Callithrix jacchus: one gene and its partner. The protein of the gene in region 2 purifies or fractionates together with the protein of the main gene of each other region. This does not show direct contact. Links are inferred from orthologs where the notes say so. Each region holds a gene or a part of one and is shown on either strand. Other genes may lie near its edges.

The links.
Region 1: the proteins of PSTPIP1 (region 2) and WAS purify together in Homo sapiens (affinity purification with western blotting; 3 studies listed by BioGRID and IntAct, with this or other methods). This does not show direct contact. The link is inferred for Callithrix jacchus from reciprocal best matches to the Homo sapiens genes PSTPIP1 and WAS.

What each region holds. Positions count from the first base shown.
Region 1 is NC_133524.1:49,251,347-49,255,251, forward strand, and holds the start of WAS (actin nucleation-promoting factor WAS), read left to right. Parts: upstream 1-1,153; 5' UTR 1,154-1,200; coding exon 1,201-1,332; intron 1,333-1,633; coding exon 1,634-1,774; intron 1,775-2,303; exon of another isoform or gene 2,304-2,438; intron 2,439-3,068; coding exon 3,069-3,155; intron 3,156-3,255; coding exon 3,256-3,358; intron 3,359-3,471; coding exon 3,472-3,513; intron 3,514-3,606; coding exon 3,607-3,660; intron 3,661-3,905. UniProt on the Homo sapiens protein: Effector protein for Rho-type GTPases that regulates actin filament reorganization via its interaction with the Arp2/3 complex. Important for efficient actin polymerization. Possible regulator of lymphocyte and platelet function.
Region 2 is NC_133509.1:24,007,594-24,011,498, forward strand, and holds the start of PSTPIP1 (proline-serine-threonine phosphatase-interacting protein 1), read right to left. Parts: upstream 2,859-3,905; 5' UTR 2,426-2,858; coding exon 2,390-2,425; intron 1-2,389. UniProt on the Homo sapiens protein: Involved in regulation of the actin cytoskeleton. May regulate WAS actin-bundling activity. Bridges the interaction between ABL1 and PTPN18 leading to ABL1 dephosphorylation.

The DNA of each region.
Region 1 (3,905 bases), on a different chromosome or scaffold from region 2:
TGGTCTCGATCTCTTGACCTCGTGATCCACCTGCCTTGGCCTCCCAAAGTGCTGGTATTACAGGCTTGAGCCACCGTGCCTGGCCCTAAAGTTCCTTTCTTTAAAAAAGGGATGACAAGCAGAAAGTAATTTGGGAGCTGTGGAGAGGCAAGGTAAGGGATGGGGGAGTGAACCAGAGGCATATGCGTAATTGGCAGTGTCTGGGTACTCAGGATAGGGGTGGATCACAAGGGCTCGCTCTGTAATTAAAAGGAAAGGGTTTTTTTGTTTGTTTTTGAGACAGAGTCTTGCTCTGTCATCATCCAGAATGGCATGCAGTGGTTCGATCTCAGCTCACTGCAACCTCTGCCTCCCAGGTTCAAGTGATTCTCCTGCCTCAGCCTCCTGAGTAGCTAGGACTATAAGTGTGTGCCATCATGCCTGGATAATTTTGGTAATTTTTTTTCTTTTTCTTTCATTTTTTAGAGATGGGGTGTCACCATGTTGGCCAGGCTGGTCTTGAACTCCTGACCTCAGGTGATCCACCCATCTCAGCCTCCCAAAGTGCTGGGATTACAGGCGTGAGCCACTGTGCCTGGCCTAATTTTTGTATTTTTTAGTAGAGATGGGGTTTCACCATATTGCCCAGGATGGTCTTTAACTCCTGACTTCAAGTGATCTGCTCGCCTCGGCCTCCCAAAGTGTTGGGATTACAGGCGTGAGCCACCGCGCCTGGCCAAAAGGAAAAATGTTACTGTAGTAACCCTTCAGCACTAGGGACCTAGAGCCTTAGTCTCAGGCTACCTGGGTGCCTTACAAAGGAGGCCACCCAGGCCCATGGCTACTCTTTGCCACAGGGAGCCCTGCACACAGATGTGCTGCTGATGGCTAAGCTCTCACTGCCTGCCAGAGGGAGGAGGGTCTGAGCCAGTCAGAGGAGATAGGCCCCAGAGAGTAAGAAAGACGGAGGAGGAGGACCCAAGCTGATCCAAAAGATGGGTCTAAGCAGTTAAGTGGAAGAGGGTTCCAATCTGATGGCAGAGGGCCCAAGCTTGGCCTAATGAGGAGGAGGCCAGGCCCACCAAGGGGCCCCTGGAGTACTTGTTTCACTTGTCCCTTGTGGGTTTTTGCACTTCCTGTTCCCTTGCTGCTCACTGCGGAAGTTCCTCTTCTTACCCTGCACCCAGAGCCTCACTGGAGAAGACAAGGACAGAAAGCACCATGAGTGGGGGCCCAATGGGAGGAAGGCCCGGGGGCCGAGGAGCACCAGTGGTTCAGCAGAACATACCGTCCACCCTCCTCCAGGACCACGAGAACCAGCGACTCTTTGAGATGCTTGGACGAAAATGCTTGGTGAGCTGGGGATCTCCTGCCCCCGCCCCGTCCTCACTGTTTCCTCCTCTTCCTCTCCGCCTTCTCTTTCTTCCCCTCCTCCCGCTCCTCCTTTCCCTCTCCATCATCTTCTCTCCTAGAATCTCCTGTCATCGTCCACCCTTCCCAGGAAGAACCCAATGTCTACTTGCTTTCCCTCTGGCTGCATGCAGTTCTTCCTTCAGGCCCACGACTGTCATGAGGCAGGAAGGACCAGGTCTGGCTCCAAGACCCTGTGGCTACACCTGACCAGACTCCACTGACCCCTGCTTTCCCCTCCCAGACGCTGGCCACCGCAGTTGTTCAGCTGTACCTGGCGCTGCCCCCTGGAGCTGAGCACTGGACCAAGGAGCATTGTGGGGCTGTGTGCTTCGTGAAGGATAACCCCAAGAAGTCCTACTTCATCCGCCTTTATGGCCTTCAGGTGACTCCCACCCCCCTACTGGACTTGCAAGCCAGTTCTCAACTCACAAACCCAGATCTGTCAAATCTGTGTCCATCTGTGTCCATCGCCCCAAGACCTCAGACCTGATTAATGAATCCCTGAGCCCCAGAACCAAAGACTCAGCCAGATGGCAAACTGTAGCTTGCCTTTCTAAGTCTACAATGACTGGCCTCAGCCTCCATATCAAAATCTCTAAAGCCCCCCAATTATTAGTATACTGCCTAAGCCTAATCTTTTCTACAAATTCCAAGAAATGAGCACTGTATTTATACCTGAATCTATTCTAAACTCAACATTTTGCATCCCAGGAATCCTTCATCAAAACTCTTGAACCCCAGATGTTTGCCAAGCTCCTAAGTCATAAATCAGTTCCCCAAACCCCAAACTTGAATATTCCATTGATCCTTGAACTCCACATCTGTCCTTTTAAATCCACAGCACAGACCCCAGAGTTCCCATATTAAAATTCCTGAACACTCAAATACCAAGGTAGTTTTTTTTTTTTAACCTATGTGTCCAAGGCATGAACCAGGCATAGGCACAGATCAAGAGCCAAGCTGGGATGAACAAGGGGTTGCTTTGTCCCTGGCTGATATGAGATGGGCACTACCAACCAGATGCCACTCTACCCAGGTCAGGGACACAAGGTAGTTCTTAAGAAAAAAGTCTTTTTCACAATCCCCCAACCTGAACTTTCTAGGTTTAAGCCCCAAATTCATCCTTCTAAACCCATAAAGATGGACTCAGCATAACTTCAAGATCCCAAGCCTGTCAAAGCTTGACCAAACTCCTAAGCCATGACTCTTCTCCACAAACCCCAAATTGCACTTACTTTAGCTGGACTCCCCACAAAACTCCCAAATCTATGTGTTTGAACTTCAAATCTCAACTCTAACTCCCAAATACCAGAATCCTACCTGTCATTAATTGGGGCTGGGGTGGCAGGGAAGGGCACAGATTGAGTCTCTGAATGAGTCTCAACTTCCTAAGACTAGAGTCCTAAATTATGAAATTCAAGCTCCCGAGTCCCACATCTAGGGCCCTGAACCCCAAATCCAAACCTCTCACAAAAGTGTCTGACTCCTAGATTGTACCCCAACTCCCCACATCCACACTGTTAGATTCCCCAGCTCTCTGGTACTGAGCTAAAAATCTCCAAACCAGACTATGAGACCCCCAAATCCAGACACCCTGCTCCCTGCCCAGCTAACAAAGGCCTGCCACCCCCGGCTTGCCTCAGTGCCACTGTGTCTCCCACCCTACACCTCTCCAGGCTGGTCGGCTTCTCTGGGAACAGGAGCTGTACTCACAGCTTGTCTACTCCACCCCCACCCCCTTCTTCCACACCTTCACTGGAGATGTAAGTGACCAACCAGCCCTTGAGCCTCACTTGGGTTTTGGAGAGGAGATGGGAAAGCTGCGGGGGACCTGGGAGGTGGCTGACCCCAAGGTATGTGCAGGACTGCCAAGCGGGGCTGAACTTTGCAGACGAGGGCGAGGCCCAGGCCTTCCAGGCCCTGGTGCAGGAGAAGATACAAAAAAGGAATCAGAGGCAAAGTGGAGGTGAGGAGGCTGCAGGGGAGGAAAGGAAATTGGGCAGAAGTGAGTGTAAGTATGGGAAACTAGAAAAGTCTCCTCTCATGGTTTTCACTCCCAATCCATCTGTCTATCCACAGACAGACACCAACTACCCCCACCACCAACACCAGCCAATGAAGGTGAGTCCTCTAGTACAAGTAGGGGTAATAAGGGGCTATCCCAAGAACCTGTGGCAGAGTTGTGATAGCTCTTGACACATCCCATCTTCCCAGAGAGAAGAGGAGGGCTCCCACCCCTGCCCCCACACCCAGGTGGAGACCAAGGAGGTGCGTGCTGATTCTTCCCTGTGTCTCTGGATGGATGGGTGGGTAGGTGGAAGAGTGGATGGAGGAATGAGCAGTTGGATGGGTGCCTAAGTGGGTGAATGGATGGGTATGTGGATGGATGAGTGGGTGCATGGATGTGGGGATCGATGGACGGGTGGGTGGATTCGTGGCAGATGGCTGAGTGGAGGGATGAATTGATGGGAGGATGAAAGTCTAAGTAGATAGATAGATGCATAAGTGGGCCG
Region 2 (3,905 bases):
AGTGATCCGCCCGCCTCAGCCTCCCAGAGTGCTGGGATTACAGGCGTGAGCCGCCACGCCCAGCCTAAAACCAGTCATTTCTAAACAGTGTGCTGCCAGGCTGCAGCGTTTAATGACAGTGCCTTGGGCTGGGGTGGGGACAGGCATGGACAAGGGCCGAGGTTCCTGGGCTGTACCTAACATAAGCCCTGCAGTCAGAGTAGTGTGCCTTTTCTGTTTTACAGATTGGTCTGCGAATAGAGCTTCAAAACACTGTTCTTGCCGCCTTGTCTGATCTTCTTACCCCTCTGGGAGCTAAGAGGATTTCTTCTTTACCCTGAAGCCAAAAGATTCAGTGATAGGTAGAGAGAGGGATCCTGCAACCACACAGGCTCTGGAGCCCACCTGCCAGGGGTTTAATTCCAGCTGTGTGACCTTGTGCCAGTCTCTGATTGTCTCTGTGCCTCAGTTTCCTCATCTGAATGGAAGAGATAACAGTAGCATCTGTTTTGAGGATTGAATGGGTGACTATGCAGACATCTTGAGAACAGCGCCTGGCACATCCTTCATGCTCAGCAAATGTTAGTTGTTGTGTGCACTGGGATGGGCTGAGCACCAGGAGGTGTTTGCATCCAGAGCCCTGGGCCAGGTGGTGCCTACAATGACCTTTCAGGGTGTCCGCCCAGACTCAGTGTGAGAGGTTCCCACTGGCTACTTCTCACCCCTTCCTGCTGTGGCCTTCCCTAGGGAAACTGTCGGCCTGCCCCAGACCCAGGGAGCCAGCCACAGAGGAGGGCAAGCAGTTGGAAGCCAGGAAGCCCAGAGGTGTGATGAGCGCAGAGTGTAGGCAGGATGCCGCCCAGGAAGCTCCACAGGGGCTGGTTACTTGCTTCTGTGCTGTCGCCACACCCTGCTCCATTATATGCCACCCCTATCTGTGCCAGACCCTGCCATTGAGCCTGCTCCTTGTCCAGCTCTGCCCTAGGGAAGGCAGGCCCAGGGGCTCTGGGCCTGGACAGAGGACTCAGTGTTAAAATAGTCAGGGGGTCCTGGACTGCCTAGGGCTACAGAGTGGCCTGGGTTTCCACCTACCCCTTCCCCCAACTTTGCACACCAAGGCAGGGCAGCGATGTGGTGACCTCACCTCCCTCCCGCCAGGGCTGCGGCTGCCAGCTTGGGCCGTGGGCATCCTGGTGCCTGGTCCTCCGGATGGGCTGAGGCAGCTCTGCTTCCATTGGCTTCTCTGGGCTGGCCCACCCTCTCTTTAGAGATGGGGAAGCCAAAGCCCAGAAAGGCACAAGGCGCCCTCCCCACGGGGAGTCCTTTGCCTACTGTGCAGTCAGTGGAGAGGAAGCAGAACGCTCACACGCTGGCCACAGGCCCCAAGTGGAACTGGCCGGAAGGGAAGGAAGGCCTGGCTCTGCAGCTCTCATCCTCCTGGCCGCAGCCCCAGGAAAGGGCCCGGGGAGGGCCAGGTTGTTGGCCGGGGCTCAGCAGGCTAAGCCGAGGGCCAGAGGGTCCTCGTCAGGGTTGGCAGCAGCACCCCAGGACACCCATATTCCCCAGCTCCAAGAGGTCTCAGCTTTTCCCCAGAGCCCTGGGCACAGACAGAGCTGAGGGGCAGAGGGGTGGTTGAAGGACAGCTGGAAAATTGCTGAGATGATCTGGGACTCCAAGCTGGGCTTCAGGCTACGCCGCCTGGGCCAAGCCACTTCACCTCTACCACAGGCTGGGCGCCCTTATTTCATGGGGAAATGACTAGATGTAAGCCCGTGTTGAATTTAAGAAAGTAAGCAAGCAATTCCCGCCTGGGTGCCTCCTGGAAGGACCCCTAAGGTCTGCAAGGGACAAGGGGCTGGATGAGGGGACAAGAATTACCATTTGGAGTGAGGCAAGGTGCTGGGGGGCTTTAGCGTGTCCAATTGGTCCCCTTGCTTGATCCAATGCTTTAGTTGATGTGTTGATATCTATCCCCATTATATAGATGGAGAGACTGAGGCTCAGAAAAAGAAATGTCTCACCCAGCCCTTAAGTAACAGAGCCAAGACCTGAACCCAAGTTTCTCTGGTCCCTAAATCTGCATCCCCTCCTTTGCTACCCCACACATGCTCTTCAAACCCGCACCCAAGTGTTAGCCTCTCCTAAGGGGCTCCTGCTGTGGGGAGAGGTCTTTCAGAGGAGAAAACAGCTGGGGCAGCAGAGAGGAGGCCCCTCACTCACGGAGTCCGTTTGCCTTCCAACCCAGAGAGGGTGGGGGCCCCGGGCCGCCTCCGCAACGATTAAGACCAAGAATCAACCACTATTTGATGAGAAAGCTGCCCTCTTGGAGCCGCATTCCGTGGCCCCACGGAGATTTCAGCCTCGCTCTGCCCGCTCCACTTGTCCAGTGCCCCCAGCCATCCTCACTTACCCAAAAGGCATCTTTGAACTGCAGCTGGGGCATCATTCTCAGGCGTCTGCCACGGCAAAGCTCGCTCTCCTGCCACAGGCTGGCCTGATGGAGGGCCGTACGCCAGGAGCACCGTCCCAGTCCTGGCAGGGCTGGCCCAGGCCCCCCTTCCCGGCCGGCGCCGTCTGCAGCACTCAGAAGGCAGCCACGAGCCAGGAGGAGCTGCCGAGGGGAGGAAAAAGGCTCAACCTGTTTTGTTTGGGGCTAGAATCGGCAGCAAAATGAGGAAGGAGCGGAGCTCAGTGATGGGAGGGCGGATCCTGGTGTCCAGCCCAGCCCCTCGCCGACCCTGCGGAGATGGAGGACACAGTCTGGGACCCAGGGCAGGGAGCAGGGATGCCAGCCCCGGGGGGGAGGCAGTGGCCAGTGGAAGAGGCAGGCTGGAGCACAGGCCAGGCGGGCAGGCAGCCCGACCTACGCAGTAAGGTTTGTGCAACCTCCCCCGGGGGCAGGCACGGGCCGTCGCCCACAGGAAGTGGAGCTGTGGCTCTCCCCTGTGCAGCCCCGCCTGCCACCTGCCACCCTACTCCTGCCTCTTCCTGCCCCCTTCCGAGGCGCGGGCTCATTTTATTCCAGAGGCCATGCGCTAAGGGAGCTTGAGGCCCACTGACAGTGTGGCCAGGAGGGGCCCAGGAGCCCCAGGTGTGTCACCCTCCAGCCCAGCACTCCTCCAGGCTGGGCCCAGAGACACTAGACTCCACCCCTCACCCCTAAGCCATTCCGGAGGGGCTCACCCAGGCCTAGGACGTTCCTCAGAACCTGGCTGCTCCGGTGGGACCAGGTCCTGCCCTCAAGGAGCTCACGGTCTGGAGGCAGACACAGCTGTGCTCTGGGGGCTGTGAACACACAGAGACGAGGTGAGAGACAGCATATGAGGGAGAACAGCCTCAAGCCCAGCACTGCCCCGCCCCCCACTGCCACCACCGCACGACTCCAGATTAGATGCCCTTTGGAGCAGAGAGCCCTCCTCTGAAGATGGAGTCTTCAGGCTCAGTGAATGGGAAGGGATGGAGAGAGAAACAGGATTATCAAGGCACAGAATGTGGGGTGTTTGGAGACCCAGGCTGAGACCTAGTTTTTGTTTAGTTTTGACCCTACCCTTCAGGGGCTGAGGGACCTTAAAAGACCCTCCAACTCACGGAGCCTCAGTTTCCCCATCTGCCACCCCCAGTCTTTGGAAAGGAGACGGTGTCAAGAACATTTCTGGAATCTCCAGTTTGGCGGGCAGTTGCTGGGGGCACTGTGTGTGCTGGACCACCTTAGGAGGAGCCCTGGGCCAGATCCCAGCCGAGCCCTGAGTCCTGAGGCGCCAGGCCTTGCCTGCTCAGCAGAAGGCCCCGGGTGAGTCAGGGATTGTCCACAAATTACCACTCTCACTGATGTCTGCCTTACAGCTGACGGGGTGATAAGACAGATGAGAGCGGCTGCAGATGAAATAGCTGAGCTCACAAGTGCCCATTATGCACGCCCAGGGTTT